Drosophila melanogaster: one gene and its partners. The protein of the gene in region 1 interacts with the protein of each later gene in a pairwise test. Each region holds a gene or a part of one and is shown on either strand. Other genes may lie near its edges.

Region 1 (4,340 bases):
GAGTTTAGGTATATTCGCTAAGAACGAAGTTAGCACAAGGATCGAGGATGGGTCACCGCAACATTTGCTGCAACGGCTGTCAAATGACGATCTTCCAGGGTAGCCGCTTCCGGTGTTTGCGCTGCGTGAACTATAACCTATGTGACATATGCTACGATCATCAGATAGAAACGGAAGAGCATCGCGCCAATCATCCCATGCAATTGTTCCCTGACTCGGACGATCTGGTTCCGCTGCTTTACGGCGAAATCCCAGAGCTGGTCCACCTGTCCAATTGCTTCACCTGTCCACATTGCGGCCTACTTGCGCTCACAGCGAAGCGGTTCATCGAACATGTTTACGTTCAACATCGGGTGTCCAATGAATATGTGGTCTGCCCCATGTGCGCCGGACTGTCGGCCGCCGAACTGGTGGCCATACGCCACCTTTCCAAACATCTCCTGCACAACCACATCGATCACGCCAATTACCTAGAGCCCGACACACCGCCACTACGCCGAATATTTACCCGTAATCACATGCGCCACCACCGCCAATCGCAGTTGCAAACAACTCCGAATTCAAGGATATTCGATATATCCGTATGGCTGTCAACTGGACGTGTGAGCTCCGATCCCCAGCTCCTAAGCAACAATGATCCTCCAGAGGAGGCAGCCAATTCAGAGTCCCTGGCGTTAGGCTTGAGTTCCGGGGGGCCATTCGAACACGACGACGACAGATATGTTCTACTTCAGTGGATTGCACAGCAAAAAGTGCAGTGCCACGATACGGACGAATCTCAAAGGCTGCGGCGAACCCTCTTCGTTGAGCACTTGCTGATTTCCATGCTGTGCTGCGAGGAGTTGCAGTTGCCGGATGGAGACAGACGAATACGGGAAGGAAATGGGGAGAGTGATCTAGACCAGGAAAACCATAGCAGTCTGGTCAAGGTCATGTCAGTGATGTCACTGCCGTGGACAGGAGTTTGGCAGACCAACCAGCTAGACGGATCGGAGGGGGAAGGCGAGATACGGGCAGCCAAAAAAGATGGAGTCGATCTGGACAAGGTGCAGATCGAGGAGCACAAAAGGGTGGCTGCTGAGGAGGCCATTGATTAGGATACTCGAAATTGTATCTGTTTTTTCAATCATGTTGAATCCGCTTTTTAGTTGCGTTACATATTTCAAAGAAAAACAAAATTTTTGTGAAAATTTGGCTTATATTTATAATATGGCTTTTATATTTTGGCTTTTATTTATATTTACAATGTTTTAAGTAAAACCATTTGAACATCTGAAAGAGAAGATATTTCCCGTTGTCCCTTATGTTAAGTGTATTTATTTCTGGGCACTATTTAATAAATATAAATGAATAATAAATATAAATTTATTTTCATAAAACTCATAAATTTTCGAGAACGATAAAGTAAAAAATTCCAATTGTTTTTTTATCATAAAGGTGTCATATTTTTATTGAGGTATCTGCGTTAAGACGGTGCTATGAATTGGTTTTTACCAGCCTTGTTGCTGTTGCTGCTGCTGATCACCGAATCCACCTCCGAATCCACCTCCAAATCCTCCTTGCTGCTGCTGCTGCTGATCACCGAATCCACCTCCGAATCCACCGCCAAATCCTCCTTGCTGCTGCTGCTGATCACCAAATCCACCTCCAAATCCTCCTTGCTGCTGCTGCTGCTGATCACCGAATCCACCGCCGAATCCAAACTGAGGTAGGGCAGCGGCCGCGGCGAATAGGGCAATGAAGAGGATCTGTAACAATATTAAAATCAACTTAGTTCTTAAAGGTTTTTCTTTGAAGCGTATATGTAAAACGTACCAAAAACTTCATGGTGCTGATACTTCGGTTAGTCTTGCTAATGTGAATAAAATTTTTGGACGCCTCCGATCTTTTATACTCTCCTGCAATCTCATCATGTCGTCACGCGCCGAAGTATTATCAATGTTCTGACAAAATCAAGTACAATTAACCCAACAAAAATACGAAAAAAATTTCCAGACGTCTGGGAAATTAATATTTGAGCACTGTATCAATGCCTATGCTCAACGGGGGGAACCCTTCAACATCAATCTTATCTGGGAAGTCGAGCCTAATCTAATAAGTCCGCAACAGTTGCTAAGAAAAACTAAGGGCGACTTAGAAGAAGACGTTGTTTGAGATTACTTTAGATCATTTATGTTCCGTTTTCACGCATCACAAACGTGTTACGGCAACAAATGTTCTTGTTTGCTTTTCTGGGTTATCATTAGACTTTCGAAATGAGGAGGGATAATTAAGTATGAAATCCTTGTAATCATGGATTAATTTTTTATACATACGTATAATTATGTTATGTCTTTGAATTTTAGCGCTTAACAGGTTAGACCACTATAGTCGCATTCCTCGATTATCAGATACCCATTTCTTAGCTAATAGAAGAACTAAGATATTTACAAGACAAGACTAGATGAAATCAATGAAGAATCTAGAGTGTTGTTGGCACAGGTTCTGAAAGAATTGGAACTATTTAGAGGTCTGAATCTCATTCAGTTCATACAGACAGGCTTACAGACAGATGGCCAAACGAATACGGCTAGATAGACTCCGCTGGTGATGCTGGTGAAGAATATATATATTCTGTATAGGTAAAGGTTCGGCAACGCCTTCTTCGAACTCCCACAGACTTTTTAAAGAATTTGGTATACTCAATTACTCCACAAGTACCGTCTATAAAAACATAGAAATTATGTGTCTTAAAAAATTGTATTTATTAAACTAATAAGACTAGTTTATTTCTTTACATCCTTTTTTTTAAAGAAATATTATTTGTATTTTTTTTCGCTGTGTTTGGTTACATTCAAAAACATTTAAAATTTTCCAAACCAATTGTACTTTTTTTGAGAGCAAATTCAGCCTAAAAGAATACTGTTAAGCTTGTGAATTTAAATGCAGCGCTAAAAAGTCTTCGCCGTTTCTTATACTTTTTTTTTAGTGGCAATTGAAAAGCTTTTAATCGGTATATAGCTAATCAGCTCCAAAATAAGCAAAACAAATTAACAAGAAGAAAGATCAGGCTAAAGGTCCTCAACCCCTGATCAGAAATCAGCTCTGTTAATGCAGTGCTAGAATTTTGCTACCTCATCGCAGACGCTTAATCTAATAATCACAGCTTGGGGTATATAGATTTCGATAGGAAATAATAAGCAAAAAATAAGAAAATTTTGTTTTTATTACTTTGTTTTGGTGCAAATCGCTCCATTCGGCTTCCACCTGCTATATGTTTATTAAACATCTTATTTTTAAGAGTGTACTGAATCCACCACAATGGTCGCCGAAAGGGGGTGGTGCAAGGGCGGAGGTGCATGAAGCCGGAAAACTTCTATTACAACTGCCGCGCACCAAGTCGGGAAAATTAAAAAGAAGAGAGCGAGATGGAGATTCAAACCGAGACAGAGACAGAAGAGTAACTAATGGCACAACAGCCACATTTAGAACCGATGTGTTCAACGCAATACCTACTAAAATAGCAATTTTTGTGGATTTTTTGGGTTTTGAATTTTATGTGTACACACACTGAAGCTGTATTACATTTGGACATATGTATAATTATAAATTCAAGCTAAATTTTCAGCTCAAGGGAAGTTTAATTTTCGATAACTGCATTCTGATTTGAGCAAATATAAAATATCCTTTGAGTTATCTTCTACTGTCAAAAGATTTAGATAAAAGATTTAGTTCCTTATCAATAATGGGGGCTTATTTCTCGTTTCATATAGGTTTGGAAAACAAATTGCATTATCGTTATTTGTCACGTAGATAGCTGTGCTCACCGGACAAAATAGTACAGTGCATGTTTATTTAACTTTTTTTTCGCTGTACTTAAGGTTCCAAAAATAAACATTTGTTTAAAAGAGGCAAAGGAAATATGTAGAAAGCTTGAGTAAGTTTGATACATTTAGGTTGAAAAATAGTTTTAAAAGTAGAATTATATGTTATTACCAAACGCCCCGAAATATTTTACATCTATGAAAATCATGTCATTGTATAGATTCGATTTGTTAAAATTTAGAACCCTTTTGCCCGTTTTTTCGACCAGAGTTTAGGTATATTCGCTAAGAACGAAGTTAGCACAAGGATCGAGGATGGGTCACCGCAACATTTGCTGCAACGGCTGTCAAATGACGATCTTCCAGGGTAGCCGCTTCCGGTGTTTGCGCTGCGTGAACTATAACCTATGTGACATATGCTACGATCATCAGATAGAAACGGAAGAGCATCGCGCCAATCATCCCATGCAATTGTTCCCTGACTCGGACGATCTGGTTCCGCTGCTTTACGGCGAAATCCCAGAGCTGGTCCACCTG
Region 2 (3,332 bases), on another chromosome or scaffold:
CACACCCTGCATCAGTGGACGAACCTCAGTTTGGGCGACGATCTGTCCAAGGGCAATCGCTTTCTGCCGGTGGATGTGGACATTGAGTACGGCGATGAGGGCAGGCATCGCACCTTTCTCACGATTCCGCGACTGGGGATGGCCACACCCTTCACACTGGCCACCGTCATTGCGGAGCACAATGAGCTGGTGGAGAATCCCAGACTGGAACCGTATCCCAACGAGGAGTGGCACGTGCCACCCAACAATTGCTCCGGCATCACCTCAGCCATTAGGACTTATGTAAGTAATAAAGCATATTTTCCCAACAGAAGATATTTCATGAATATTTATCGTTTTCTCCCAGATCGACGAGTGCTGGCGACTCTGGGTGGTGGATTCAGGGCAGGTAAACTCCCTGCAGTTGTGCCCGCCACAAATTCTCACATTTGATTTGGTGAAGGACGAACTAGTCCAACGACACGCACTTCCGCCCGATTCCTACATTCCCAGCGTATCCATCTTCACGGCTTTGGTGGTGGATCTGGCCGAGAGGGGCACACCCAACCGATGTGTTGGCGGCAGAGCGTATATAGCCGATGCCTGGGGTTATGGTCTAATCGTGTTTGACTCCCTGACGGGACGATCCTGGCGCATAGAGCATGAGTCCATGAAGCCGTCGCCCTTGCTGAGATTAGGACGCTCCAGCAACTCGCAGGCGGGAATATTTACAGTGAGCCTCAGTCCCAGCGAAGTGGAAGGTAGCTATTCAATTTAAATTCTAAATACTCAAAAATTATTTATAATTTCCAATGCAAATTTACAGACCGCTTTCTGTACTTTCACACGCTGAACTCCTTTAATGAGATGAGGGTTCCGCTCTCCCTGATCAACAACGAGACCTTCTGGAAGTCTGCGAATGCCAGCAGGGATAGCTTCCACAGCCTGGGCACCCGAGGAATCCAGTGCGAATCGGAGGTGATGGATCAGTCGGGGAATCTCTACTGCAGCCTCATCAGTTTAGGGGCGCTGGTGAAATGGGAGGAGTCCGTGTCCAACTACACGGCGGATGACCTGCGTGTGGTGGCCTACAATCCGCACAAGATCAAGTTCGTCACGGGCCTCAAGATCAACAGGAATTCCAAGGGAGAGGAGGAGCTGTGGGCCTTGAGCAGCCAGCCGAAACTCTTTGTTGGCGGCGACTTGCCCGCGAACGAGGTCAAGTTCCAAATAATTGGCTGCCGAACCGCTGACCTGCTTGCCAACACGCCGTGTACAGTGGGCGCCGCAGAAACCACGCCCACCAACGTTTAATTAAAACTTAGTTTTAACAAGTTTGAAACTGCGTCAATCGATTACTCTGATTTAAATTGCTGGCTGTAGAAGGCTGGCTGTTATGGCGCAACTTTGATCTATCGATAAATTGCTGACTGTGTTTAGCTGAGTAGTATGGCATTTGATTTGCTGACTGTGGATAGCTTTGTGCTATGGCACGTGCTTAGGGCTTGGTCACACTTAAGTTAGCCAATTAGAAAAGTAAACAATGTCTAACTGGAAGCCGTCAGGCTACGAATTACTAATTAGAAAATCTCCAACTAGACATGAATAGGAAAACCTCTAACTAGATTTGAATAGGTAAACCTCCTATCGATAGTAGCCGGTAAATATCGATATCGAATTACCGGGTGACCATCGGCTTAAGTTCCAGCTCTATGTTTACGTGTAGAACTTTATTTTCGGTTTAGTTTTGTTTACCAATAAATTTCGTTAGCTATGACAAATCTACAACGCTGGCTATTTTACGCATCGCTCTTTGCGATTCCCTATCTCTCCGTTGTTTTGGGAACAGTGCAAACGCCACTAACTACCAAGTATTTCCTGCACATTCAGCTTTTACCACTTTTGCTCCTCGTGATTTTTGGAGTGAGTTTTTGGATATGAATCAATGCAGATAACACCTCTTATTGACTACTACTATATATTACCCACAGATATATTCCGTTTGGACTGTTCTATATAGAACTCTGACTTTTAACGATTGTCCCGAGGCCGCCAAGGAGCTGCAGGATGAAATTCAGGAGGCTCGCAAGGATTTGATAGCCAAGGGATTTCGGTTTCGAGATTAGGAGACTTCCAGCTCGTAGGACTTGTGCATGTTAATCTGTAATTCCATTATTTATAAAAACAAAAATTACGCAAATTTACTCTAGACCGCATTTTGTGTGGGCGGACGCGTTGTTGGGGGCTGATTTCCCCAGGTGTCGGAAGTTTGGTGGCCAAATTATGTTGAGGTTTTGAAAGGATATGCTTGAAAAAGTATGGAATATGTTTATGTTTAATTGGCTTAGCTCCCCTGTGAATTACTCAAAATAAAAAATATAAGAAAACTAAAAAAGTATATGAGGTAAAATACGTTTAAAGAGATTAATAATATTCTTTACGGAAAACATATTTTTACTTAATGAACATGGTATATGGAAAACTCGTAAGTGCGAACCATATATTGCAAATCCATGCTTTGGCTATCTATTTCCAATAAATCAATTTTTTTAAAATTCTCTTAATTACAATGCGAAAGAGAAAAAAATATACTGTTTCAAAACTTTAATTTTCTCTTCTGCAAAATACTGGAAGGAGTTATAATTGCGAAGCTGAATGTTGTGATACTCAAAAGATCCAATATAAACCGATTAATAGCCATTTGAAGTTAATTTGTGTAATTTTTTTTTTAATGGCGGACAATAGTTTGAAAATAGAAATAAATTTCAAGAAGATAATACATAGTTGATGATAAAAAAGATAGTACATTTATTTACTCATGGTTGGGCAGTCTGGAAATCGGCTTTCTAATGGCCGACTGGAACTGGAACGGCGGTTTAAGCGTCAAGCTCTCTACAACAATCAACAGTTCGCGCTCAGCCACCGAACCGCTAACAACACGACCGCCGTTCGTTACGTGCTGGCTATATAACTGCATTTATAAGAAATTCTGAAGAACGAGAAGCCTGAAGATGAGTCACAAAATCGCCGCTGTGTGCCTCTTGATGAGCTGCCTGATTGCCACGGCTTATAGTGCCGCTAAGGTGAGTTTCCGGCTCGGAAAAACCCTTCGCCAAACTAGCGAAAAATCAGCCAACGGGGCCAACTAAGCCATTACACAACAGCCAAGCGTGTCAGGGGCACTCCGAATTGCTTTTACCATTTAGGTGAAGACGTGATTAAGTCGAATAACTAAATAGTGGGGGTATAGGAATACAAAAATGCAAAATAAAAAAATCCATAAAAGAGCTGCACCCTTTTCGTGGCAGCAACAAGTGGCATTTCGAGAGTTTAACGAACTGTGCCACACGTCG
Region 3 (5,469 bases), on another chromosome or scaffold:
TATATCAAATCGATCGGAAGTCGCGGCCAAGTTCCTTCAACTTTGCGATTATGCAATCGCATTGAGAAATTAACACACTGAACTCAAATGGTGAACTGGTGCACTTTCGTTAATGAATTTAATTAGATTATGAATATTTTTCAGATTGCTTTAACATTTCGATTTGTATGTAAATTTTCTGCAAATGCTCAAGGTTGAATCTCTGGGTATAAAGTGCTTATTTATTTTGATTTTTTGTTCACATAAATTTTACAACTAGGCGTGGCTTGCCGGCACCTAAAACTTGTGTTACAATATATTGTCGTGCGCGGCATTAGTTAAAGGACTAGTGAAGTGCATTCTAACTGGGAAAAACATATCCATGTCTGGTGAGTACAGTCGCAGTCTAAATTCTGATGATCAAATGGAAAATTTCAGAGCAAGCGGAAATATTACCTGCCATCTCTGTCCATATAAGGAGGATCATTCTGATCTAGCATGGTCAATTCATCGTGAGCTTTTCCTCTAGTCATACAGCCACTAGAAAGCCCTTGAATCGATCGTATTCATACTTCCCCCAATATGGCAGACGCGTGTTTCGGATCTGTGAGATGGGATCAGCTTAGGGCGACATGTCTATACATATTCATCGTCTCCCCCGCCGACTGTTTGCACATGTAAATTTGGCGCGGCTAGATTACATGGTCAGTTACGTGTTATTCGGTTAGAATTCCGCAAAAAGATCTTGTGCTCGGCGGCCATGCAGCGGACTTTGAGACGAAAAATGCAAATGTTTGCTTTGTTGCATTGCTTGGGTTTTTTGTCGAAAAACGCATCAAAAGTGCAGGGTAATGGTGAGATTTTTAGCAGGTAAATTAGAATAAAGGTAGTTGAAGGGTCGTTAATTGAGGGTAAGTAAATCGTCAACCAAGCCGCTGTCAAAGTTCGATCTAATTGCTTAGCTCACAAAAATCGACTACGTAACGTTTCAAGCTTGCACAAATAACAAGTAAGCGTCGGGTCCTCCGAAATATTAAGTATCCGCCAGGTTGCCTGCAACATCCAGGTCTCGGTAGCCGCTTTTCCCATTCGGGAATTTGTATGTTTCAGAAGTTCACGGCGCATTTTGGCCATTTATTGGCCATCACGAAGGCAAACGGAGGAAAGCCAAGTATTGGTCATTATAAATATTTAAGAGCCCAAGAGGCAAACTGGTTTGGTCAGCCCCATCTTCTTCTGCTTTTTACCGCATACGTATCCAAAGATTGGGCTTTGTTGCTGGCAACCTTTCCGCCGCTCTCCCTCGCCGTGATTTGATTTGATTTGATTTGATTTGTGGCTACGTTAATTTTTGCACACTTTTCCGATATGAAGGGCCGGGCCTGGGCAGGGGTTAATTAACGGACATTCTTGCCGAACTTTGAACTGTGCAATCATGCGCGCTGCCAAGACGCGGCAAAAGTACCGCTCCGATATTTGGATTGGCGGCAATTAGCGCCGCACTTGGGTGTGGGTGCAAAGGCGGGTGATACCCCCACTGGTGGATACCAAGAATTCGATTCCAAAGGGCCGCTGGCCGATCTCGCTCTCGCTCTGGCATCCTGACGCCCGACCCGATCGCTTCGGCTGTCAGAGCGAGAGCACACATCGACAACCTGTTGCTCAGAACCTGTGGCTAGCGACCGAAGCTTTCGACTTCGGCTCACCTCAACGCCAGCGCCATCGCCACGCTCGCCGAAAATGAGCGGTCGGCGGCGCCGACGATCTGCGTCGACGTCTGCGCCAAGTCCGCTCCTACGACTGCGAGGCGGTATAAAAGTAAAGCGGCAGCGTGAAATCAAACTTATTTCAGTGTTTTTGATTTGAATGTAAAAAGCGCACGCTCGCCCAGTCGCTGTCCAGTTGTTGTCCAGTAAAGTCCAGCGGAGCAGCAGCAGCGGCAGATCGGTCGCATCAGCAGTAGCATCAGCAGCAGTTCCCCGCAACAGTGATGTAGAAACCATAAAACCGTATAACGATGGTCAAACAGTGTGTGCGTGTGTAAAACAATAACTAAAAACCTACAAGCAAGAAAAACGAAAAAAAAAAACGAAACGAAACGAACAAGGATAGTGCGCTAAAAAGTGATAATTCGTATACCAAAGTCGAGAGAATCTCTGTAAATTAGTCAAAAAAAAAAAAAAGAAAAAATAAATAAATACAGTACGCTTCCTTGTAACAAACGGAATATAAACGCGCATTTAGTACCTGTTGAAGCGAATTTTAGCACAATGGTAAGTAGCGGGGGTTCCCGACCGAACACCCAGTGTGACTCAACGGAAAATTGATGCCACTGAAACCTCCTTTATTAAAATGCCTTTGCAACCAGTAATTTCGATGCCGACCCCCAACATGCAAGCCTGAATAAATAAATATACATGATCGTACGTTGACTTGGGCTTTCCGTTAAATCCCACAACCCACAAATGACCCTTTGCACACGACTCGTGTGTGCTGCTGCTGCTATTAAGCAAGAAATTAATAATAAAAAAAAAAATAAATAAAGCTCCTATAATGAATATCCGCAATGCAGCCGTTAAAATTAATTGAGCAAATTATTAATCGAGAAAACCTCTCGAGCACCAGCCATTCCTGGTTCTTATTCGTTTTCTTTGGAAATGGAAAAAAACCGCACGCCAGCAACTGGTTTTCGTTTTCAAGTACACATTCGCTAGCAAGGTTTTCCACTGTTTTTTCCCAAATGCATTTTTGCCGACTCCGCGCAGACCTTTCCACGCTTTTCGCCCACTTTTCCCCCGCTTTCTGCCACAAAACATGAGCGTTTTGCTCTGTTCTGTTTTGCTAGAGCCATTCGCTTTCGAGCTCCGCCAAAAGTGCATACAGAAACTGCAAGTGCTGCACTTATTTCGAAGCTGTCGCTGTGTTATGTCCGCAGTTGCAGCAGCAGCACTTACACCAGCAACATCACTGGCTGGCGGTCAAGTGAAGTGAAGGCTGGCTTTTGGCTTTGACCAGCTCACTAGCCCACCAGCTCACCAGCTCACCAGCTCACCAGCTCACCAGCTCACTGGCATGACAACATTTCACACGGAAATGCAGTGCATCGCTGACCTTGAATCTCGGCCGGGGATATGGGATAACTGGCGATCGGAGCGCAGGTGAAATGATAGCCAGTCAGGGCCAGGCCGACTCATTTGTCCCGTCCACCTTACTTATGCTTTCGGCCCATCATTGCAGATGCTGCTGCTGTGTAGAAATCCAGTGATTTTCATATTCATTCAGCAGCTCTGCAAATTCGAGAGAAAAAACCCCAGTGGGTTAACCAATCGCCGCCGCTACTACCGCTGGCTAATGATCACTGGCATTGCACCATTTCACAAAAAAAAAAAAAAAAGAAAAAAAAAAATAAGCAGGCAACCCAGAAATCGAAACTTATTCAAATCTTCGAGTTGTTTTCTTCTCCTTTTGGCCTCTTACACAATGATTATTACACCTCGATTTTATTTTCGACTGGGACTTTTGCCGCATTTTTGTGTTGCCTCTTTTGACACTGAAAAGTGCAAAGGCGCTGGCGGCGAATTTTACTAGTTGCCAGTTGGCTATGGGCGGCTATGGGCTATCGGGTCTGGGTTGTTTGAGGCTGCTTGTTGGAGCCAGAGCCACTGCCACCCAGCTGCCAAACTGCGCAGCCCCCGCCAAGTGATCATAATAAAAAAAAATGTGCCTTAATCAGCCGATTTGCTTGCATTCCCTGTGGGCCAGTTAGCTACATTGGAGAGCCAGTCTCAGACGCATTGACGTCGCTTTATTGTTGACTGCCGCTCGGCACTCAGCTGTTTTTTGGTAAGAGAATCATGTAGAGAGCATATAGTAAACACAAAACCATAGGCAGAGTGCCCTCTTAGTACTTAGTGTGTGTGTGTGTGTGTGTGTGTGTGTGTGTGAGATAACGCTTGCCGCATGTGACTGAAATCGCAGTGCATTCGCTGCTCCATTTCGATTTGTTTGGCTCCACACGGCGTATGCGCGATTTTCTCAGTAGCTAGCTAGTCTTCGTTCACTTCAATTGCGAATATGCCATTTGGGCAAAGGTTTATTGTTCTACATAAAAAAAGTGCGTGTCTCTCAGCAATTTTTTTACTGGCTGTGTATATTCCCGAGCAAATTAACACTTAAAAACTGATAACGCAAGCGAAGAGAGGAATTCGAGGTAGATAAACGTAAAGAGACCATTAAACGGAGAGTACCTGAAAATGATTACATTTATGGACTCTTATCGGCCCGTGATTGAAGTAAGTGTCATTTGAAATTCAATTATTGCTCGTTGGAGATTAGACAGAAAAGTTATGCCAGTAAAGGTGTTAAAAACACTAAAAATAACAGCTTTTAAATTATTATTCAAACACGCTGGCTTGCATATTTTACAGCTCTTTGAGTGCCTTTTTTTTTTTGCAATTTTATACAAACTCTTCGTTCCCGAAAAAACAATTAATTTATACATATTTGTCGCTTTAAACTGGGTCGGTTGGATGAATTTATTTGTATAAATTAAATTATTTAGTGGGCCATGCTGTCATACCGAATTCGTGATTAAACATATTTCCATTAGTGCGAATTTAGATGGGACTTAGGTGCTAAAGTTGTTCGATTTTGTTTTTAAGTATTTTAAAAATGTTTAATAATATTTTCTAAATAATTTCCTTGTCGTACAACAATAAATTACAAATAAATTCCATTTTAAAGCAACGAACGCATTTGCAGTAATATATTTTCGACACATTTAATCCGAACACAAAATAATTAAATCAACATCAACATTGTGGGGCTAAAGCAAAATTTAAATTAGTGGACAGAAACAACCTGATAAATACGCGAATGTAAAGTGATTGAGGAGCTAAAAGTCATTGCTTGTTTAATTGTGTGGCTAGTGATTTACGGGCTTGGGGGCAGAGAACTTTAGGCTGGGAAATGGCAGCAGGGACGAAAACCAAAGTTCGACATTCCCAATTCGAATTGCATATTATGCCTGAATGCCTGAATCCAAATGGTATGGAACCATTTTTAATGCAATCGTCTAACATAAACGTTCACGAAAAAATCAACATTGGCGGCCTGACAAACGCAATGTAGAATGAATCAGCTAAAATATATCCCCCGAATTGAGGCTTTCAAATGGTATTTGGGGAACTCACTTACACTTACGCACATTTAGCCAACCTGTTGAGTATTTGCAGCTGTGCACTTGACTACTGGCTGAGTTTTTAGTTGCTGCAAAAACTGCTTTGCACTGAAAGAAATTGGTAATCATATAATCTTATTAACCAAAAAATAAAAATGCTCAAAGGTTTCGAATTTTCCAAAACCTATTGAAACTTCTTCATATTACCATATTTCTGACTGACCTAAATAGTTAGTGAATAATGTGGAAAATTAAATCTATTCAATACTTTATTTGCATAATCAAATCATTCAGATGACGAAACACGCCCA

What was found. Proteins that work in one complex are often made in the same cells at the same time.
Region 2: the proteins of CG31775 (region 1) and Dpm3 interact in a two-hybrid assay, tested with the Drosophila melanogaster proteins (one large-scale study listed by BioGRID).
Region 3: the proteins of CG31775 (region 1) and Elovl7 interact in a two-hybrid assay, tested with the Drosophila melanogaster proteins (one large-scale study listed by BioGRID).

Annotation. Positions count from the first base shown.
Region 1 is NT_033779.5:14,735,904-14,740,243, forward strand, and holds CG31775 (uncharacterized protein), read right to left. Parts: upstream 1,867-4,340; 5' UTR 1,828-1,866; coding exon 1,816-1,827; intron 1,749-1,815; coding exon 1,491-1,748; 3' UTR 1,187-1,490; downstream 1-1,186. Other genes in the region: CG31835 (uncharacterized protein), read left to right, coding at 48-1,097; CG42585 (uncharacterized protein), read left to right, coding at 4,119-4,340.
Region 2 is NT_033777.3:13,401,409-13,404,740, reverse strand, and holds Dpm3 (Dolichyl-phosphate mannosyltransferase subunit 3), read left to right. Parts: upstream 1-1,689; 5' UTR 1,690-1,752; coding exon 1,753-1,902; intron 1,903-1,970; coding exon 1,971-2,105; 3' UTR 2,106-2,182; downstream 2,183-3,332. Other genes in the region: yellow-e3, read left to right, coding at 1-282, 347-740, 806-1,293; GILT1 (Gamma-interferon-inducible lysosomal thiol reductase 1), read left to right, coding at 2,991-3,062.
Region 3 is NT_033777.3:7,992,203-7,997,671, reverse strand, and holds the start of Elovl7 (ELOVL fatty acid elongase 7), read left to right. Parts: upstream 1-1,819; 5' UTR 1,820-2,249; coding exon 2,250-2,252; intron 2,253-5,469. UniProt on the Drosophila melanogaster protein: Catalyzes the first and rate-limiting reaction of the four reactions that constitute the long-chain fatty acids elongation cycle.